Linked DNA regions of Saccharomyces cerevisiae S288C. The gene in region 1 interacts genetically with each later gene. Each region holds a gene or a part of one and is shown in the gene's direction. Other genes may lie near its edges.

Region 1 (7,082 bases):
AACAAGAAAGAAGATTGATAAGATGAAAGAGCTACAACGGAAAAAAACTGAAAAAAAAAGGCAGTTAAAGAAAAAAAAGAAGCTTCTTAAAATAAGAAAGCAAAGACAAAAGGCAATAAAGGAGCAAGAAACTATGAATTTACAATTGGGAATCAATGGCCATGAGATCATCGGTAACAATAACAGCCATAGCGACATAAATACCGGTACCGATTTTACAACCAATGAAAATACCCCTATGAATGAACTTCCCTCTCACGCACCTGAAGATGCGTCATTAATACCTCATAATTCTGATCTTGCCGTGGACAGCAATACAAGGAAAAATTCAACAAAAAGTGTTGGTTTAGATGAAATTCATGAGATTTTGGGCAAAGATGAAAATGACTTACTGTCTGTAGGTGATATTAACGGTTATGATGCACAAGAAGGTCATGTGATCGAAGATACTGACGCCGATATCCTAGCATCGTTAACCGCTCCTGTGCAATTCGACAATACATTAAGCCATGAAAATAGTAATTCCATGTGGAGAAGAAGGCAAAGTATGGTGGAAGCAGCGGCTGAAAATCTTCGTTTCACTAAAAATGGTTTATTTAGTGAGAGTGCATTGGCAGATATCGAAGGAATTATGGGCAATGATGTTAACCATTCATTCGAATTCAATGACGTCTTACAATGAGCTATTTTGCATTTTTTTATGGTTACTACAATCAAATCACCTTTCGTTTACAATATCATCATCAGTATGTGACTTTGCCTTATTCTACTCTGAATTTTGCTTTATCGTTGGTTGAAAAGAATTACATGTTATTTTTTTACTTATATATGCATATTTTTATAGAAAAACACAATCAATATTTTTTTTACTGGTATAATCCGTCCAATCAGACGTATAAAAGTAAATAAGCCTCAAGCAACCCCATTTGATGGATTGCCTTACTCTTCGACTCTAGTTGAGATGATAACCTCATCCACTCTTCTGGCGATTAAGATGGAGCTTCTTAATATATCCGTGTAAAGCGACTGAAAATTTTCTGAAAAATTCAGCTCATCGCTCTCAGATATAATAGCGGTATGGCATTAAAGGTGTGAACCAACAACATAGTACTCTCAACGGTAGTAAGCCATACTACGTACAATATGGATCTGAAAACCTCATATAAAGGTATATCGTTAAACCCTATTTATGCAGGAAGCAGTGCTGTTGCCACTGTTTCAGAAAATGGTAAAATACTAGCTACTCCGGTGCTTGACGAAATCAACATAATCGATTTAACCCCAGGCTCCAGAAAAATTTTGCACAAGATTTCTAATGAAGACGAGCAAGAAATTACTGCACTGAAATTAACTCCTGATGGTCAATATCTCACGTATGTTTCACAAGCTCAGCTTTTAAAAATCTTTCACCTTAAGACCGGGAAAGTTGTCAGATCAATGAAAATCTCTTCTCCATCGTACATTCTCGACGCAGATTCCACTTCAACGCTTCTCGCAGTCGGAGGGACAGATGGTAGTATAATTGTTGTGGATATTGAAAATGGTTACATTACTCATTCGTTCAAAGGTCATGGTGGTACAATTTCCAGTTTGAAGTTTTATGGACAATTGAATAGTAAAATATGGTTATTAGCATCCGGTGACACCAATGGTATGGTAAAGGTTTGGGATCTTGTTAAAAGGAAGTGCTTGCACACATTACAAGAGCACACATCTGCTGTGAGAGGGTTGGATATCATTGAGGTACCAGATAATGATGAGCCAAGCCTAAATTTACTTTCCGGTGGTAGAGACGATATCATCAATCTCTGGGATTTCAATATGAAAAAGAAATGTAAATTGTTGAAAACACTTCCAGTAAATCAACAGGTAGAGTCATGCGGATTCCTAAAGGATGGTGACGGTAAACGCATAATTTATACAGCCGGCGGTGATGCTATCTTTCAGTTAATTGACTCTGAATCTGGTAGCGTGCTTAAAAGAACCAATAAACCTATAGAAGAGTTATTCATTATTGGTGTACTTCCAATATTGAGCAATTCACAGATGTTTTTAGTATTGTCTGACCAGACATTACAACTAATTAACGTTGAAGAAGACTTAAAGAATGATGAAGACACAATACAGGTCACTTCGAGCATTGCTGGTAATCATGGTATTATTGCTGACATGAGGTATGTTGGCCCAGAGCTGAATAAATTAGCTTTAGCTACCAATTCTCCATCGCTTAGGATAATACCCGTCCCCGATTTATCAGGCCCAGAAGCTTCGCTGCCTTTGGATGTCGAAATTTATGAAGGTCATGAAGATTTGCTAAATTCATTGGATGCTACTGAGGATGGCCTGTGGATCGCAACCGCCTCTAAAGATAATACGGCTATTGTTTGGAGATACAATGAGAACAGCTGCAAGTTTGATATTTATGCCAAGTATATTGGTCATTCAGCTGCCGTAACTGCTGTTGGATTGCCAAATATAGTTTCAAAGGGATATCCTGAATTTTTATTGACAGCATCGAATGATTTAACAATTAAGAAATGGATAATTCCAAAGCCAACTGCTAGTATGGATGTTCAAATCATCAAGGTATCCGAATATACTCGTCATGCCCATGAAAAGGATATCAATGCTTTGTCAGTTTCTCCTAACGATTCTATTTTTGCAACAGCATCATACGACAAGACCTGTAAGATCTGGAACCTAGAAAATGGTGAATTGGAAGCCACGTTGGCCAACCACAAGCGTGGACTATGGGATGTATCATTTTGCCAATATGATAAATTATTGGCAACTTCTTCAGGTGATAAAACAGTCAAGATATGGTCATTGGATACATTCAGCGTTATGAAAACATTGGAAGGTCATACCAATGCGGTTCAAAGATGTTCGTTTATTAATAAGCAAAAACAACTGATCAGTTGTGGTGCTGATGGCTTGATCAAAATATGGGATTGTTCTAGCGGTGAATGTCTGAAGACTTTGGATGGTCATAATAATAGATTATGGGCTTTAAGTACTATGAATGATGGTGATATGATCGTAAGTGCTGATGCAGATGGTGTTTTTCAGTTTTGGAAAGATTGTACGGAACAAGAAATAGAAGAAGAACAAGAAAAAGCTAAATTACAAGTCGAACAAGAACAATCGCTTCAAAATTATATGAGCAAAGGTGATTGGACAAATGCATTTTTGTTAGCAATGACTTTAGATCACCCAATGAGGTTGTTTAATGTTTTGAAAAGAGCTTTGGGCGAATCAAGGTCTAGACAAGATACCGAAGAGGGCAAAATTGAAGTCATTTTCAATGAAGAATTGGACCAAGCCATCTCTATCCTAAATGATGAACAGTTAATTTTGTTAATGAAACGATGCAGAGATTGGAATACAAATGCAAAAACACATACCATAGCGCAAAGAACAATAAGATGTATTTTGATGCATCATAACATAGCAAAATTGAGTGAGATACCCGGAATGGTAAAGATAGTTGATGCAATAATTCCATACACGCAAAGGCATTTCACAAGGGTTGATAACTTAGTTGAACAAAGTTACATATTAGACTACGCGCTAGTGGAAATGGATAAGCTATTCTAGGCAGTAAGTCCAAGATATTGAGCCTTTAAAAGCAAGGCAATAGCAACATATTATTTTGTAAACTAGATATATAAAGACAAAATGCATTGATGAAGCGGAAAGCTTAAAATAATTCGATATATAATTAGGTGCCTTTACGGGCATTGAAAACTTCTTTGCGCGAAGAGCTCATCACTAAAAATTTGCAAAAAACGAAGAGCGAAAACTTTCATATATTGTAGTAATATATACAAGAATTTAAACTGCCCACTTGAAATAGCACGGAAAGAACTAGCCATAATATATTATACAGGATGTCGGCAGGTGATATATCAGCCATAAATATCAAGTCTGTCAAAAAAAACAGAAGGAGGAAGAAGAGAAGAACAGCTGATGTTTCATCATCAGATTCTTCATCATCGGATCCATCATCAGAAAGTGAAAAGGAGGAAATCCAAAATGGGGCCATCGAAGAACACGTTGGAGAAAATGGTAAAAGTGATCATGTTTTCTCAAAAGGTAATGACGAAGACAAACAAGAGGACATTGCAATAGAAGTTTCGGATGTCGAGCTTACAGACGAAGAAAGCAAGGATTTGAAGTTAAATTCAAAAGAAGTGATAGACGATTTAACCAAAATTTCTTTGAGCAAGATCCCAGAGCCTACGAAATCTCAAAACAAGGAGGGTTTTATGAATGCATCGAAAATTGCCGAAAATATCAAGCTTGCGAGAGAAGAATACAATGAATTGGCAGAAAACTTTGTGCCCAAAGGGAAAGACAAGACAAAGTTAAGGGAAGAATACTTAAATTTACTTTTTGAAAACTACGGTGATGATATCAATCGTCTTAGAGCTGCCCCGGATTTCACGAATAAATCACTATCCATTTTGGCAGATGCTCTGCAGGAAGGCATAGGAATGTTTGATATTGGTGAACTAGAATTGGTCTTGAAAAATAAAGAAATGGAGAACTGAAAAATATTGCTTTAAATCTTTTTCTAAAAGTTTGTCATGTTTCCGCGGAGAATATATTGACGTGCACATTAATTATTTAGATAATTCTTCGATTTTTAATGAAGAGCGGTCCTGATCCAAGTTGTGCTTCATATGGTATAAAGCTGATTCCAGTATACTGCACGAGAAGTATATGTATGTATTTTGTAATTTATATAAAGGCAAAAAAAAGAAAAACACTTGGGCATAATGGAGGAGAAGATCTTATGACCTGATAGTCAAAGAGAAAAAGAAAAAAGCAGAAGGAGCAAAGAAAGGCGGCGACCAAATGACGAATTAGATCCAATGAAAAACGATTCAATGCGAATAAAGGTTATCATGGATCACCTGATGGGCCTCTTGGCAATAGAAAAAGAAACTAGTTTGAAATTCATTAATATAAATAAATTTAAAGAGGAGAATATAGAAACAAATTAAAACGTAAAAGAAATGTATGTCGAGAAAATCCAGCCCAGTTCCAAGTATATAGCAAAGCTTCTCAATCCCAAATTTCTTTACAATAAATATGTATAGTGTTGTTACTTTACACTTAACCCAGTAACTTAACAAAGAACCAAGCCGCACCTGCTGCTACACCACCCACAACAACCATTTCAACACCTTCCGTAACTTTCTTTGAAGTCGAACTGCCACTACCCATGGATAGTTTTGTCTTTACGTAACCAAACCAGAATAATGTTACAACCATGACTATTATAGAATAAATGAGACCTGTGCCCACATCTGAGACAAAAAAATATGGCACTAGTGGTACTAGCCCACCAAGTAGATAACCGCCACCGATAGTGACTGCACTGATTAGTTCTCTATTCTCGGCAGGTTCGTCTAGACCCCTACCGTACCTGATAATGAAGTCAACCATTAGCTCAGGTGTTCTTTGTAAATCTTTGATGAACGAAACGATTGTTTCGTCCGAGAAATTAGGGTTAATCTCTAACAGAATGTCTTCAATTTCTCTGTTAATTAGGTTGGAGTTATCGTAAAATTTCCTTTTCTCCTTCTTTACTTCAGCATGATAATAATCAGATTCACTCTTCGCTCCCAAATAGCCACCAAGGCCCATAGAAATCGCACCTGAGATCAACTCAGCAAAGCCACCGGTAATGACCAATTTCGCATCACCAAGTGAAGATAGACCAGCTGTTAGAGCAAAGGGGACGGTTAAACCGTCGCTTAGCCCGATAATCAAATCGCTAATTACGCGAGGATCTACTGATTGGAAGAACCCTAGGTTCGCCTTTTCGTTATCCGAACCGTTATCGCCATTCCTATTATCTTTCCCTACTGACATCGGTGAGTTTTCTAGATCCTGCGCTGAATTTCTACCATAGATAATATCCGAGCTAGATGAGGATAAGTTATCATGCCTTGAACTATTGCTATTACTACCCCTCAACAAGGGAGTTGATTCAGACCCCCCCAACTCTGAGGTTCCACCACTACCTTTCGCTTTCTGTATAAGGGTCACCACTGCGTTCTTTAGTGCTACAATGGACATAATATTTGTGTGCACGAGATATGGGAGGACAAAAAAAAAGTTTCTTTGTTCAATATACCAATAAAAAAAAAGAGTCTAAAGGCTTCGTTCTGTTATATTTCTATTCTATAAACCTAAAAAAAGCAAAAATTGAGAGTGATGTCGCTTTAACTTGATTATTTGAACTATTTTGTTTTGTATCAATTTTTCATATATAATCTTAATTTTACATCTTCATTGTGAGACATTCGGGCTAACAAAGAAAACAAAAAATGCGGGTCACGAAAGGGGTACCGAGCCAATGAGAAGAGGGTATGTTAGTAATATTAGTGAGAAATGCGGCGCGATTGGTCCAGACCGAAAAAAATCAATATTATTAAACTGTAAAAGTTATATTAAAAATTAAGTTACATTAGTAATTGAAGTTCACAAGAAGAAAAAGAAGAGAATAAATCTAAAACCAGGCTTCAAAAATTAGGGTTGATTGCAAAATTCGAGTAAACAACTGCTAACGGCTGCTTTTTTTCTTGAACAGTTTAGTGAAGAAACTGGACTTCTTGTGCTTCGTGGGAGGATCTTGTGTTTGAGCCTGTATTGTCTTAGTGGCATGTGTCGAAGTGACCATTGTTGGCTCAGCGGCAGATAATTCATTCGTCGATGATGTTGTTGGATCCGTGGCGTCTTCCTGACGCTGAGGGGTTTGGTCCTGTAAAAGCGAAGAAGAAGACTTTAGATTATCCTGCAGTTCCGGTGATCTTGTTCTCGTTGTTGAAGCTACTGCGGAGGTAGGTACATTGCCCTGACTTTGCCCATTCGAGGACGCAGTAGTCGAGTCTATTTGTTGTTGAAGGGGTGAAGGTGAATCTGTAACTACTGGATTCGTCATCACACCTTCGTTTGAAGATGGCTTTGCGGTTGTCACACCTTCCGAAATAGACGCTGCTGGGAAGCTTTCTTCAGCATTACGAGTAACTGGAGTTTGTTCGCCTTGTTCCTTCTTGTGCTGGTAGCCG
Region 2 (5,407 bases), on another chromosome or scaffold:
GGGCGCCAGCGTCATCACAACTTATGCAGATGTGACCATAACCCTGGGGCTCTGAGTTACCGTTATGATAGTGGAAGTTTGGATCATTCTCAGTTCCCCAATTATGAGTTAACTCCAACACACTTTCACATGAAAAAACGCTGTCGGTCTTTGGAACGCCATAACCAAGAAAGTATAACGTAAATTTTGCACTTTCGTGCTCACTAGTTCTTAATAATTTCATGCCCAACACATTCTGGTAGAATTCTAAAGACCGGGTTGGGTTTTTAATACGAATCATGGTATGATTGAACTTGTTACCTACTGAGCCCTTTGGGTATTCCTGACCCTCTCTAGAATATGTGATCAACTCAATCCAGTATCCATCAGGGCCTAAAGCAAACGCAATGTCCTTCTGTCTTCCTTCAGAGAGTCTCTTCTTGAATTTGACACCCTGAGATTCTAGCTCTTCGCAGGTTTTATTGATATCGGATACAGAAAAACAGATGTGCCCAAATCCACGATGAGGTTCCTCATTCCCGTTGTTGATCTTGTAGTCTGGGTTTTTTTCAGTACCCCAATTGTGAGTTAGTTCTAAGACACCGTGTGCGCTAAAAACATCAGGCTCTCCATTCTTATTTTTGGGTATGTCGTCTTTTGGAAAGCTTAAAAAGTACAAGCTAAATTTTGCTTCTTCAAAATCCTTTCTGCTTAATAGCTTCATACCGAAGTGTTCGGTGTAGAACTTAACGGTCCTTGCTGGATCCTTGACTCTTAAACATGTGTGATTAAGCAGAAGGGTTGGATCATTCGAGGCTTTCTCAATCTGAATTGGATAGCGTGTACTATCAGTGGACATTGTTAGTTTGTAGCTGGTGGCGTATCTGGTCTGAAGTGTCAAAAAAAAGGCATGGAAATGTTATTCCGATTTTTTTTCTCCCTATTTATAAACGTCACTAACTAGAAATACGGGATATCAACTACTACGAGAGAGGGACATTCTAGTATCAAAGAAACTTACTATGACGCAGTTTAGGATCCCTGTGGTGACTACGTATCCAGGTCTACTACTCCATCGTAAAGCCCCTTGTTTATTCAGTGTCCAGATCATATGCGGGATGTGTATTTTGTGCTGAGTGGAAAAATAAGATCATATGCTCAAGAATAAAGGGTTAAAGGGTATGGAAATTTCAGTTCTCCCTGGCTCAAGAACATTGTCAGTATTCCTATAACTGAAGCTGAGTGGTACTAATGCACCGAGATGCAAAGTCCGAACCACCCCCACCCCCCTCTTTACCTATTTTTTATATTTTGTGATAAAGGGATAACTCGTCTTGCCTTCACTGCGCTTCGATTCTACTTTAGCTAAACTAAGCGTTACTTTGTTTGAGAATCTCTCAGCCGTTAAATCAACGTACTTGTATACTAAACAGTATATTCACGTGATAACTTTGCCTTACACCTATGATATAGATAAATATATACATATATATGAGTGTGTGTGCATTGCGTCACTAAACTATGTTTAATATGACAGAAGGTTTTCGTTTAATTTTGCCGCTACCCGAAAATTTTGGCAGTTGCAATTTATAACTAAAGGAACCACCTTATTGTAAATTCCTCAACGGAAAAGCTATGGCTTAGCTAGGGTTGACAATGTCAGTTTACCATTTACCAACGCTGTTGAACCCGCTGGTTAATGCTATATTTAACTGTCCCGAACCAGAAAGATCCCCATTGAAAAAGCTTTTCGCTAATTTAAAAACCCGTAGGTTTATCCTCCTAGCACCTCCTTCAGAATACCTTTTGAATTACCACGATGTCAAGAGCAAACTGCCGTTACATGACCTCTGTTATAATGCAGAGTTTATTAACTCTTACATATTGTTAATGACTGAAAACTCTTACATAAATACGAATTCAAGGGACAGTCATTATGAAACGTTAGATGGTAAGACCGTTGTTATTCAATGGAAGAATAATGTGATCCATGCCTTAAATGGATTTCATATAAGGCGAAGACTAAAGATTCTAGAGACAAAAATATTACCCAATTTTAATGACTACTTTGAAGGGGCGGCTGATTTTATCATACTATTCATAGATCAACCTTTAAATTGCGAATTTGTACCTAACGACTACTTACAGTGTTTTCACAATTATGAGAAAATACCAAAAAATGCACATGCTATGCCAAATCTGTCGATAGATTCTTTTCAGCAAGAAAGATCGTCATTCGAGAATATATTGCACATTCATCCTGCTCGATTAACACAGCTTGGCCAATTGTTTTCGAGTTACAGAACGCTCGCTCCTGGTGATGATCCATCTAGAAGTATTTTTGAAAGCATCGTGCAACAAGCATTTGATGGAATGAAATCGGATTCACTTTTCAAGAACTTTTCTAATCTTTACGATCTTATACACGACTATTTTGAACTAAATCTTTACGATGATATATGGTCTAGGCTTACTACACATTTCAAAGGCCACGAAGTAGACACTGAAAAAATAAATATTTTTCAGTGAACCAGTTGTTGACAGATTTTTACTCAAAAGATTATGGGGAATTTAAATTACACGACATCACTCTTATTGAAAGGCGTCTCCATCTAGCGTCCAAACATCTTCAAAAGTTGGCTTTGACCCATTCATACGCTGAAAAATCTAAAATATTAGTTGAAACTCTACAGAAATTATCAGGTACTACCGAAATGGATTCACATCAACTAGAACTACCAGACGGATTGAATAACATGACGATGGATGCAGACACTTTAATTAGCCTTTTTGTGCTCGTTGTTTGCAGAAGTGAACAAAAGCACCTTAAAAGTCATCTTTACTATTTGCAAAATTTTTCGAATAACTCTTCTTCTACAAAATTCGGCATTCTAGGGTATGCTGTATCCACACTGGAAGCAGTGGTTTGTTATTTCGAAGACTTCAACAAAAATACAGGCAACGTGGCGAAAGCTAACACATTATGTGAAAAAACTAAGAATTTATTAGATAAGTTGTCATGTGAAAACCCCACAAATGAAGTAGAAGATCTGGCAACATACAAGGATATTTTGACCTACAGAAATGAGCAAGGACAATCCATTCTATCCATATGTATAACAAATCATAAAAACTACATCTTATTAGATATTCTTTCTGAATATGAAAACGACTTTCCAGTAGAAGACCTTTTAGAGGACGAAACGATTGATGGTTCTACGCTGCTTATAGAATCGATAAAAGCAGGAAATTTAGAAGCCGCGAAAGTTCTCATAAAGATCATGCTGTTCAATTGTACTGAAGAGGAGCTGGTTTCTTATATCAATAAAACAGATAAATATGCACGTACCGTGGCTCATTATCTAACCCATGAAATGGATATACTTAAAAGCATCGGAAATTATATTGATTGGAAACGAAAAAATTCCAGTGGACAAACGCCTTTATTTTCCATCTTTAGAAGTTATGATCAACCAAATTATGAAGAAATGGTGAAGACCGCATTTGATATCGCAAATACTTGGTATAGAAAGCACAACAGTTTGTTTGACTATCTAGACCACACCGATAATAAGGGCAATAGCTTGTTGCATGTTTTGAAAACAAACATTCCAATCCTTTTACAACTGACTAAGCTAGATATTAATGAGGAAAATTATAAGGGATTGACGCCATTAATGGTATATGTGAAGTACAAAAGACTAAGTAATATTGACGCCATCACGAAAGACCGTCGACTTATATTAGAGAAGGTTCAAAACTCGACCTTCTTCACTTGTTTTGATTATGCAAAAGATCACTCGGTACTAAGCAAGATAGGAGAAAGGGGTGTCAAAGATTCACTTTTTGGATTAATATATTTTCATTCTTTGCGATATCATAATTTAAATGCGACAACAAATATAACATCCGTTTCAAATGCAGAGAAACCTTTCGCCACTACTGTTATTAACATGAAAACAATTCAAGGCTTACTACGCTCAATTCTGAAAGACAATCCGTTCACCTTTTTGCCATTAAATACCTATATCGATGAAATATCGCACTTAAACCGTTCTGATTTAACAATAATCGGGAAAACAGATGTCACATCGTTACTTCACCAATTAACTAACTGCTTCAACGTTCTTTTATTCCTGAAAAAAATTCCAGAAAATTTGTTCACTGATGAGGCTTCTATCTTATATTGGATGCGCATAAACACTTCTAAAAGAAACCAGAAACCCTCAGGAAAAGAAAATCCAAAAACAATGGAACCCGAGGAGATTAATATGATACAAAGCTTTTTACGTTTTAATTTTGATGAGATTTCATCATTTAAGGCAAGCTTGAATATTTTGAGGAAAGTCTTAATATTTATTAATTTGAAATCCGATGATTTCGAGGATGCTTATAAGGGTCTTAACGAAATGGGTAGAAAATTAATTAATAGTGAAGCATCCAGCGCATTTAAGGGGATTATAACAAATCATAATATGTTCAGTGAATTATCGCTAGCAGCACTACTAGAAAACGTGCGTTTCTTGGAACAATGTACTATCCAACTATCTAGTTTCGTTCAGATAATTTTATTTGAAAAAATTCCGAACTGGTGGAAACATTATGGTGAGTTTTTAGCTTTACATAAAAGCTATCGGAAGGCTTTTCCTAACATGGTTAAGCCAAAAAGTGCATCAGATACCTCTAGTCGTGCTCCACTTGGTGGTTTTATTGAAACGAAGCGTGAACAATCGGAGCAAAGACTAGCGGTTCAGATAAAGGCCTCTTCAAAAATGCTCAAAGAACTTGGAAGCGAAATTTTTGTAGCTCACGAAAGGTTGGCCGAGGAACTAAGCAATTATATGGAGTTCAGGAAGGCGTGCTTAGATCAGCGTAGTCTTGTGGCATTTGCCACAACCAACATTAGCGTTCTTCAAGAATGTGTTTAAGATTGACTGAGCATTGCAATATTTTACCTTCTTCTCACTTGTTCTATAGAATTTTTTACCCAAAAATAAGAGATAAAGAGTTTGAAAGAAACATCATTACATATATATATATATACGGGCAGCTCCGTAACTCGAAAAGAGTGACAGCTGTTTTACTCTGTAATAGCTGACGATTCTTCAGTGATTGGAATAACCTCAGAACTCACCGGTACGGGTAACGTTTGTATCTCGCGGATTAACTTTTCGCATTTCGACCTACTGAGAGAAGAAGTTCCTTTTGTTAATCTGTACCTTTATCTTGAAAGCAGTCGTTACAGAGGAACAGCATTGGGAATCACCAACAAAATAAGAGGAATAAGCTCATCCAGTCCACTTCTTATCCATATAGAAACCCCTTCTGTATCAATTCAAATTAAGTGATGTCTTCTAGAAAAAAAAATATTTTGAAAGTAATCATCCTAGGTGACTCTGGTGTTGGGAAGACCTCCTTGATGCACCGT
Region 3 (9,784 bases), on another chromosome or scaffold:
ATTACTATAATCATCGCTATTTTTTTCACCCTCAAAAATATTCTCTATCAAACCTTTTGCTTCACAAATCATAGCGGTAAATGCTGCTGTGCAACTATCTAAAGATTCCATTACCGGTAAAATTGAGTGTATCTTACCACTAATGATGTCGACGCATGGTTGTTCCCAATCATTTGTTATGTCTACGACGTTAGCTTCCAGTGACATTTGTAAATATTCTGCTGATAGTTCTAATGAGGGGATATAGTATAATAAAAACCCACAAAAGGACTCATACCACGTCCTTGAATACTGCAGAATTTTTCGTTGATTTCCACCAATTACTAACAAGAAATCTTCAATGTAATCCCGTAATTCACCGGAAATATCAGTAGCAGAACTACCAAAGGCTTGACTTAATTTTAGCACCAAATTTTTCCATTCTCTAAATGTACTGGACGAATCTTTTGGATATTGTTTCAGGAGTTCGATGGAGTCACTTACTGCATCAAATGAAACGGCACATGTATCACTCAAATATGGTAAAAGATCTGATCTTTCAATGCAACCTATAGCTTGGGAGAGCAGGCCTCTTAAAACAAGCTGATTCAAAAGCTTCCAGAAATATTGTGTTTCGAACACTTTTTTACCTGCTGTAGAATCCTTCACTGAAAACACTTGTTCAATATATTCTTCATCTGGTTCACCGTCTGATCTATTAATCCAGTTTAGCAATGACTCAATAAACTCTGATCTGTTCTCCTCTACATCCTGACCATCTAATATGAAGTACATTGTCCTCAGACAGTTTAAAACGGTTAAAGATTCTTCCAACTCATAAAATCGGTTCACTCTTCCATCCTGATCCTTGACTCTACCAATAAACACTTCCAATTCATTCAGAATCGCCTCCATGGCCAGATTTACTGTTGCATTATGCTCCTTCGCGAAATTAGAATTAACAACTCCAATCGTTGGTACATTAAACACTCTGTCATCACCTAAATCACGGTAAATTTCAAATAAACCTGATACGTATGCAGAAAACTCTTTGCTGGTATCTAATCTAGGAATTCTAACAGGATAAAGCTTATATTTATCTTTTGCAGTTATGAATGCCATATTTTGGTAAGAAAGTGGCCCCAGCTTGAACTTTAAAGGCATCTTGTCGCCATTTTTTTCAATCGGTTGATCATTTACAGTCATAGGGACCAGGATAGCCCCGCTGACTGGGTCCCTTTTATATAGTTGTTCTTCTTCATCGGTCTTGTTATTACTAAGTTGCGCCGTTCCGTCGTCCAAAAAATCAAATTGATCGACGTCCATAAGTAATCGATTTGAATCATCGATTGTCATATCTGATAATTGCGTTCTGGCTCACGCTTATTGACTCAACTCAAGACCGTAAGTTCAATGTTTTCTATACAACTACAATTTGTACAAGGCTTGACTTCCATCCAACTAAAAAACCTCTCCGTCGTGCGCGATCTGAAAAATTTCACTTAGCTCATCTCAAAATGATCGCTAAGAGGGCACTTGGTCACAACTACAGAATTGTTTACTAGCATAGGAACATCTCTGTCTAAGATTTAGCTTGCCATCAATTATCTTTGGAAAAACAGAGAGTATACTGCACTTTTTGATAATATGGGTGATCTTACAGAAGAACTATCTATCCCAGACAATGCCCAAGATTTGTCGAAATTACTACGTTCGACGAGCACAAAACCCCATCAAATTGCCGAGATAGTTTCAAAATTTGATAAATTAGAAACCTACTTTCCAAAAAAAGAAATTTTCGTCTTAGATTTACTCATTGATAGGCTCAACAATGGAAATTTGGATGATTTTAAGACCAGTGAACATACTTGGATAATTTTCACGAGATTATTAGATGCTATTAATGATCCAATTTCGATAAAAAAACTACTCAAAAAATTGAAGACTGTGCCTGTAATGATAAGAACATTTTTCCTTTGGCCTAAAGACAAATTACTTACACGTAGCGTTTCGTTTATAAAAGCATTTTTTGCGATTAATGACTACTTGATTGTCAATTTTTCTGTTGAAGAGTCTTTTCAACTTTTAGAACATGCCATAAATGGATTAAGTTCGTGCCCGACGACTGACTTTGCGCTTTCATACTTGCAAGATGCCTGCAATCTAACTCATGTTGACAATATTACTACAACGGATAACAAAATTGCTACTTGTTACTGCAAGCATATGCTACTACCAAGTTTAAGATATTTCGCACAGACCAAAAATTCTGCATCTTCAAACCAATCCTTCATTCGTCTATCTCATTTTATGGGAAAGTTCCTTTTACAACCACGCATAGATTACATGAAATTAAATAAAAAGTTTGTCCAAGAGAATGCGTCCGAAATTACCGACGATATGGCTTATTATTATTTTGCCACTTTCGTCACTTTCTTATCAAAAGACAATTTTGCTCAACTAGAAGTCATCTTTACAATTTTAGGTGCCAAGAAACCTAGTTTAGAATGCAGATTTCTGAATCTTTTATCGGAATCGAAGAAAACCGTATCTCAAGAGTTCCTTGAAGCATTATTGCTTGAAATGTTAGCGTCGACTGATGAATCTGGAGTGTTATCATTAATACCAATTATCCTTAAATTGGATATCGAGGTTGCTATTAAACATATTTTTCGGTTACTTGAATTGATTCAGCTCGAAAATTTGAACGATCCTCTCTTTTCCTCTCATATTTGGGATTTAATAATCCAATCACACGCTAACGCAAGGGAATTATCAGATTTTTTTGCCAAAATAAATGAGTACTGTTCCAGAAAAGGACCCGATTCCTATTTTTTGATAAATCATCCTGCATATGTCAAGTCTATAACGAAGCAATTGTTCACTTTATCTTCTTTACAATGGAAAAATCTATTGCAAGCTTTACTTGACCAAGTCAATCACGATTCCACCAACAGGGTTCCTTTATATTTAATACGCATATGCTTGGAGGGACTATCAGAGGGCGCATCGCGCGCAACTCTCGATGAGGTAAAGCCTATTTTATCTCAAGTATTTACTTTGGAATCATTTAATAACAGTCTTCAATGGGACCTAAAGTATCATATAATGGAAGTCTACGATGATATTGTCCCTGCAGAGGAACTAGAAAAAATCGATTACGTGTTATCTTCTAATATTTTTGATACTACATCGGCTGATGTTGAAGAACTGTTCTTTTATTGCTTCAAATTGAGAGAATATATTTCGTTCGATCTTTCTGATGCAAAAAAAAAATTCATGAGGCACTTTGAAATCCTTGACGAAGAAAGAAAGTCAAACTTATCATACTCTGTTGTGTCCAAATTTGCAACATTAGTAAACAACAACTTTACAAGAGAACAAATTTCTTCTTTAATTGATTCATTACTATTGAACTCGACAAATTTATCTTCGTTATTAAAAAATGATGACATTTTTGAGGAGACAAATATCACGTACGCTTTAATAAACAAGCTTGCTTCATCATACCATCAAACCTTCGCTCTAGAAGCTTTGATTCAAATTCCTATCCAATGCATCAACAAAAACGTTAGAGTGGCTCTCATTAACAATCTAACATGCGAATCATTTTGCCTTGATTCCGCTACTAGAGAATGCCTCCTTCATTTATTGTCAAGCCCGACCTTCAAGAGCAACATTGAAACAAATTTCTACGAATTATGTGAGAAAACAATAATGAGCCCCGAAATGGCCATTTCAGAGACAGGTGATGAAAAAAAGGAAATAGAAGACAAAATATCTATTTTCGAAAAAGTTTGGACTAATCATCTGTCACAGGCAAAGGAGCCTGTGAGTGAGAAGTTCTTAGAATCTGGTTACGATATCGTTAAACAGTCAATGTCATTGTCCAATGGTGATAGCAAACTAATTATCGCCGGGTTTACTATCGCAAAATTTTTGAAACCAGATAACAAGCATAGAGATATACAAGGTATGGCAATTAGCTATGCTGTTAAAATTTTGGAAAACTACTCTGAAAATTTTGAATCTGAAACAATTCCCCTTTTCAGAATATCAATGTCTACATTGTACAAGATTATAACGACCGGACAAGGCGATATTTCTAAGCATAAATCGAGAATTCTGGATATATTTTCCAAAATTATGCTTCGATATCATTCTAAAAAAGTGTACCATGCGCCAGAAGAACAGGAAATGTTTTTGGTTCATTCACTCCTTACAGAAAACAAGTTGGAGTATATTTTTGCAGAGTACTTAAATATTGAGCATACAGATAAGTGCGATTCTGCCTTGGGGTTCTGCTTGGAAGAAAGTCTTAAACAAGGTCCTGATGCGTTTAACCGCCTGCTCTGGAACAGTGCTAAATCGTTTTCCACCATTAGCCAACCTTGTGCTGAAAAATTTGTGAGAGTTTTTATCATAATGTCAAAAAGGATTGCAAGAGACAATAACCTTGGTCATCACCTATTTGTGATAGCTTTACTTGAAGCCTACACCTATTGTGATATAGAAAAATTTGGCTACAAGTCATACTTGCTACTGTTCAATGCTATCAAGGAGTTCTTAGTATCGAAACCATGGCTATTCAGCCAATACTGTATTGAAATGCTGCTTCCTTTCTGTTTAAAAACTCTCGCTTTTATAGTAAACCATGAGTCAACGGATGAAATCAATGAAGGCTTTATTAACATCATCGAAGTGATAGATCATATGCTATTAGTTCACAGGTTTAAATTTTCCAATCGTCACCATTTGTTTAACTCCGTTCTTTGCCAGATACTAGAAATAATAGCAATTCATGATGGTACATTGTGTGCAAATTCAGCAGACGCCGTAGCCAGACTAATAACGAACTACTGCGAGCCTTATAATGTATCAAACGCTCAAAATGGGCAGAAAAATAACTTAAGCTCAAAGATAAGTTTGATAAAGCAGTCCATCAGAAAAAATGTACTTGTGGTTCTAACGAAATATATACAGTTGTCTATTACGACGCAGTTCAGTTTAAACATAAAAAAGAGTCTGCAGCCCGGTATTCATGCGATTTTTGATATATTATCTCAGAACGAGTTGAATCAATTGAACGCTTTCCTTGACACACCTGGGAAACAATATTTCAAAGCACTTTACCTCCAATACAAAAAGGTTGGTAAATGGCGCGAAGATTAACTTATGTGTTTTAGTGTGTTTTCAAAAGGCATTTCTCTGCTCACGTTTAATAACAGGGTGACGGAGCTTAAACAAGTAAAAATTGATAAAAGTCTGTATCATATAATTTTGAATAATCTATACTAGCGCCTTAAAAATTACATAAATGTCTAATCATATAACGTTACCATTTCGATTAGTGGTAAACCTTTTGATTATGAAATGGATAACTGACCAACATCTTCTATCAAGTGCTTCATTATATGTAAATTTCGCACCGTGAACTTCTCGATACTTAATTCTTTTGAACCTCAAAATATCTTTAGCAGTGACCAACCCCTTTAAAATTCCACTTTCCTCTACGATGATAGTCTTACAACCTAGCTCTTTAAACATACGGAATAACAATGTTACTGGCACCGCCTTCTTCACCGAGATTGGAGATTCATTCATAATATCCTTAAATCCGATGCAGTTTTCACGATGTCCCAACTCTTCGTTAGACTTATTGAAGTATACCAGTGTCGTTTGAGCTTTGGTGCTATTTACGCTTTGCATCATGATTTTACTGGCTAAGTGCCTTTTTAAAACATAGCCAATACATCTTTTTTCCTTCTCAAACTTATCCTCATCCTTAGTTATTGGAAAACCATGCACAGAATATTCAGACGCTGAGTCGTACAACAAAGATTCAAGCTCGGAAAGGTAAATGGTTTCATTAATAGTAATTAATTTGGAGGACATGAGCTGCTCTGCAGTGTATTTTTCTAAGGTTTCCTCCTCTTCCTCGTCTTGCTCGTCTTCCAAATATGGGAATCCATTAACCATGATCATTTGATCAGCAATACCGCCAGAAATACCAGACGTGCTTAAAATTATCCTTGTTATTGCCACTACAATCATAAGGGGTATGATATACATGAAGGCGCCTGTTAGCTCGAACATTATTACCACCACAGTTAAAGTCAAGTTAGTTATCCCGCTCAAGGTAGCGGCTGCTCCCAGGAAGGCGTAGGCACCAGGAGTAATAACAGAAGGGCCACTTATAAATCTCTCTACCAGTAGACTTACTGCCCGTCCAAATGTGGCCCCAACCGCCATTGAAGGAACAAAGATTCCGGCAGGAACTCTGGCGCCATATGATACCACCACCAACAAGGCCCTGATAACAGTGGCAAAGCATAGGGAAGTAAAAATTTTTAAGAACTCAAAAGCGTGCGTATTTTCATCCAACTGACATAACCTATGACTAAAAGTTGAGGTGTTATCGTTCTTGACACATTCATGAAACAATATACCCATACTTTCTGTCATGTCTAATTTCAAGAACTCATTGAAGTAAGAAATCAAAGCAGTAAGCGTCGCCAAAAAAAGCACTTCTTGAACTGGCCATGAGGACAGGTACATTTTGCGAAAGTGAATAAAGTTGATGTTCCACTTACTAATATATTTTCCATATAAACCACCAAAGATTCCTAAGGCTATAAAGATCGGAATCTCTTGTACCTTCCAGTCTCTATCATATGTTACATTGAATAAAATAACTCTGCCATTCCTAAATGGATCAATGTACTTCAAAGTAGTTATTGCGACTAGGGCGACATAATAGGATTTCCATAAGGTAGAGGAGTTAAACCTATTCGCAGAAGCAATCTCTTCCAAACCAAAAAGGACACCACCAATAGGAGCACCAAAAGCAACCGCAACACCTGCTCCACTAGCTGCTGTGATATACTCATATTGCGATGAATACGTCAAAGTATCTCTTAGTAGCCATTTTGTGAGTAAGTACCCACAACAGGTTGCATAATGAACTGAGGGCCCTTCTTTACCTACGCTTAATCCCGAAGAAATAGCCAAAGGAAGGGCAACACTTTTAATGACTAATGTTAAGAAACCCAAAAATTCCTTATTGTATTCAAAACCTGATACCCATACCTTAATCTCTGAGATTCCTGAACCAGTAGCCATAGGAGCAACATATTTGACTAACAGTGTACTAATTAGAGCAAATAAGACTGACAAAAGCATGAAAATTATAAAAGGGGACACATGTCCCTTCCAGGCAATCCAAAGCCCTTGTGCCTCGCATTCAAACTCTTGTCTTTTCAGTAGTAAATTGCTTGTAGAGGTAACCTCATTAACCACGCCGTTACAACAGAAGGATTTATTAAGTAGCCAGTTCCTCTGACAATGACCTGTTTTCCAGTTAACCAGAGTTTCCGTGAAGACTTGTAGGAAACCAGCAATACATCCAATAACTATGGCCGTAGAGCTTAATGTGATAAATGTTTTTGCACGGTCCCATATAACCTCTCGGTAATGTCGATATTTTGAATTAAGGAACTCCCTGTCCGAGTCTACAGACAGTGGTCTATTTTCCTCAGCAATCTTATCAATTGTAACAAATTGGTCAAAATTTTGCGTTTCTGGAATATTGGTGAATCGATTGGTGTCAATGACATCTTCACCATCCCCAATTGGTTGATTTATTGGCACATAAGTTGTTGGCATTAGTGTCAAATAATTTTATAGTATGCAAGATCAACATTCACCGCCCTTTCTATACGGTGTGCTTTTATGAAGACTGGAGAACAGGCGGTGCTTTTCCTTTTTTTATGGGTTCGAAATCGCGACATTTCTGTCCTTAATAAGTGAAAATCATATAAATCTATTTACTAATAATGATAGCCAATGTGAAGTGTTTCTTAAGAAACACGTAAAAGGCTCTTAAGAAATCTTTGAACTACAAAACCGATCTTATTTGAAATGTGTGATAAGTATCATTTTTCGGACAGCATTCGGTCCTACGGTCATGGCCATATTATAGCGTGTATTTAACAATGACTTTTGCTAAACGAAGAACAAACAAAAACAACACCGCTTCAAGAATTTTACTTGAAAACTATACTAAAAAAGGAAAGTAAATTTGTAAGTGTATATATCATAACGTAGACACTAAATTTCAGATATTACAGTGTGATCATCCATTTGAGGATCGAGGAAGCCCAGGAACTTTTGAACCGACCGCTTTGCGAAGACAGCTTTCTTTTCTGATAAGATATGTAATGAGATATCTGACTCTTCATGCAGGATTCCGATCACATAACAACCGTTAGACAAGGTACTTACTAAGAATAAGGGCATAAATGTAGATTCGCCTAAAAACGTGCTCATTCTGGAATCAGTAGTTCTTACAGAGTTGATGGTTGTAACTTGCTCAGCAACATGGTACACTCTTTCGTCTATTTCTTCCTCACCATCAAGTTTTAAACTAAATAACGTGAGCTTTTGATCACCGTACGAAATTAGTAGATACCTAATATTCTTGAAAGTTATAGCGGCTGCACCGGTAAACATTTTCCCGGTGTCGGTAATGCTATTGATGAGGTCCCTCTCAAATAAATTCAGAGGCTGTACCTGCAATTGAACCTTTTCTATGTTACCGTCTGTTGTATGGATGACATTGAACCTCATCACACCTTTCCGTACATCAAGTAAAATCATTTCTTCCAAATAAACCCATGTACCTATATTTTGCTGCTTCCTAGCCATCTTTGCCTTCCTTTTATCAAAAAATATAGATGATGTTATTGTAATACCAGAAATATTCAACCTATTTGAAACCTGTTCAATACTGAACTTGTTATCATGAACTGAATAGTTCAGTTGATAAGCTTGCACAAACTCCCCATAAACCAAAACACATCCATTGTAATAGTTATGTAACCCACTGATTGAGAACCCCGTGTTAATCCCAAAAACAAATTCAATAAAACCCGATTCCTCATCAAATGAAAACAATAATAGGTTATTCATATTTTTACTATCAATACCGTCTATTGAGTCTAAATTTAGAGACACCAAGATACATGAATTGAAAATCACTTCCTTATACAGCTCAGAAGTCTTTCTTTTTCCTAATGTTTCGGTTCTTTTGAGCATGGGTACGGCAATAATATCTGATATCATAGCGTTTTCATATTTTATACTCTCGATATCATTGTTGAGGTTAGAAAAATTGAATGCGGAAATGTTTTTGAACTGTTTAATATCATACACATAAATTTCGGAATACTTGTCCTGCAATGGATTTGCTACTGGCAGGGCCGCTACAATCACATATCTTGATGAAGATTCCAAAGTTATAAATTTGAGACATGTTTTTAAAACTTTTTCAAACTTAGAACAAAGAGTAGCCCTTCCGGCATCACCAGGAACAAGTACGTCGTAAAATTGACCTTGAGAAGTAACCATAACAACTGAGCCATCTTTTTCTCCAGGTATCAAACAGCTTATAGGACATGGTGCATATACTTCTTGGATTTTAAATCTACCTTTTATTTTACTTGGCTTGAAAAAAATTATAGTATCGGCTGTATATATAAAAAAATAATCTGAGTTAGGGACTTCACAGAACTGTAACTTCTTCTTGCAAATTTTAACCTCTTCTACGATCTCAAAAGTTGCCAATTTCATAACGCAAAGGTTTCCTTCGGTGTCAGACATGAAAATGTAGACCGTGCTTTCGTATTCATATAGGAAAATGGACGCTAAGTCAGAAAGTCTATGGAAAACTACTTTCTGGCTTTTCAAACGGTTGCAATGATCAAATACCGTTATTTCATCATTCAGAACAAGTACAGTCAAAAAA

The links.
Region 2: mutations in RSA3 (region 1) and VRL1 together harm fitness more than expected from each alone (negative genetic interaction), as found in Saccharomyces cerevisiae (2 studies listed by BioGRID).
Region 3: mutations in RSA3 (region 1) and URB2 are lethal when combined (synthetic lethality), as found in Saccharomyces cerevisiae (2 studies listed by BioGRID, with this or other methods).

The regions. Positions count from the first base shown.
Region 1 is NC_001144.5:575,833-582,914, reverse strand, and holds RSA3 (Rsa3p), read left to right. Parts: upstream 1-3,890; coding exon 3,891-4,553; downstream 4,554-7,082. Other genes in the region: IFH1 (Ifh1p), read left to right, coding at 1-682; U3 snoRNA-associated protein UTP13, read left to right, coding at 1,144-3,597; CCC1 (Ccc1p), read right to left, coding at 5,122-6,090; MSC3 (Msc3p), read right to left, coding at 6,578-7,082. UniProt on the Saccharomyces cerevisiae protein: Required for efficient biogenesis of the 60S ribosomal subunit.
Region 2 is NC_001145.3:261,848-267,254, forward strand, and holds VRL1 (Vrl1p), read left to right. Parts: upstream 1-2,693; coding exon 2,694-4,907; downstream 4,908-5,407. Other genes in the region: lactoylglutathione lyase GLO1, read right to left, coding at 1-838; YML003W (uncharacterized protein), read left to right, coding at 1,636-2,508; Rab family GTPase YPT7, read left to right, coding at 5,327-5,407.
Region 3 is NC_001142.9:505,606-515,389, reverse strand, and holds URB2 (ribosome biogenesis protein URB2), read left to right. Parts: upstream 1-1,626; coding exon 1,627-5,151; downstream 5,152-9,784. Other genes in the region: NUP85 (Nup85p), read right to left, coding at 1-1,335; GEF1 (Gef1p), read right to left, coding at 5,305-7,644; MLO127 (Mlo127p), read right to left, coding at 8,089-9,784.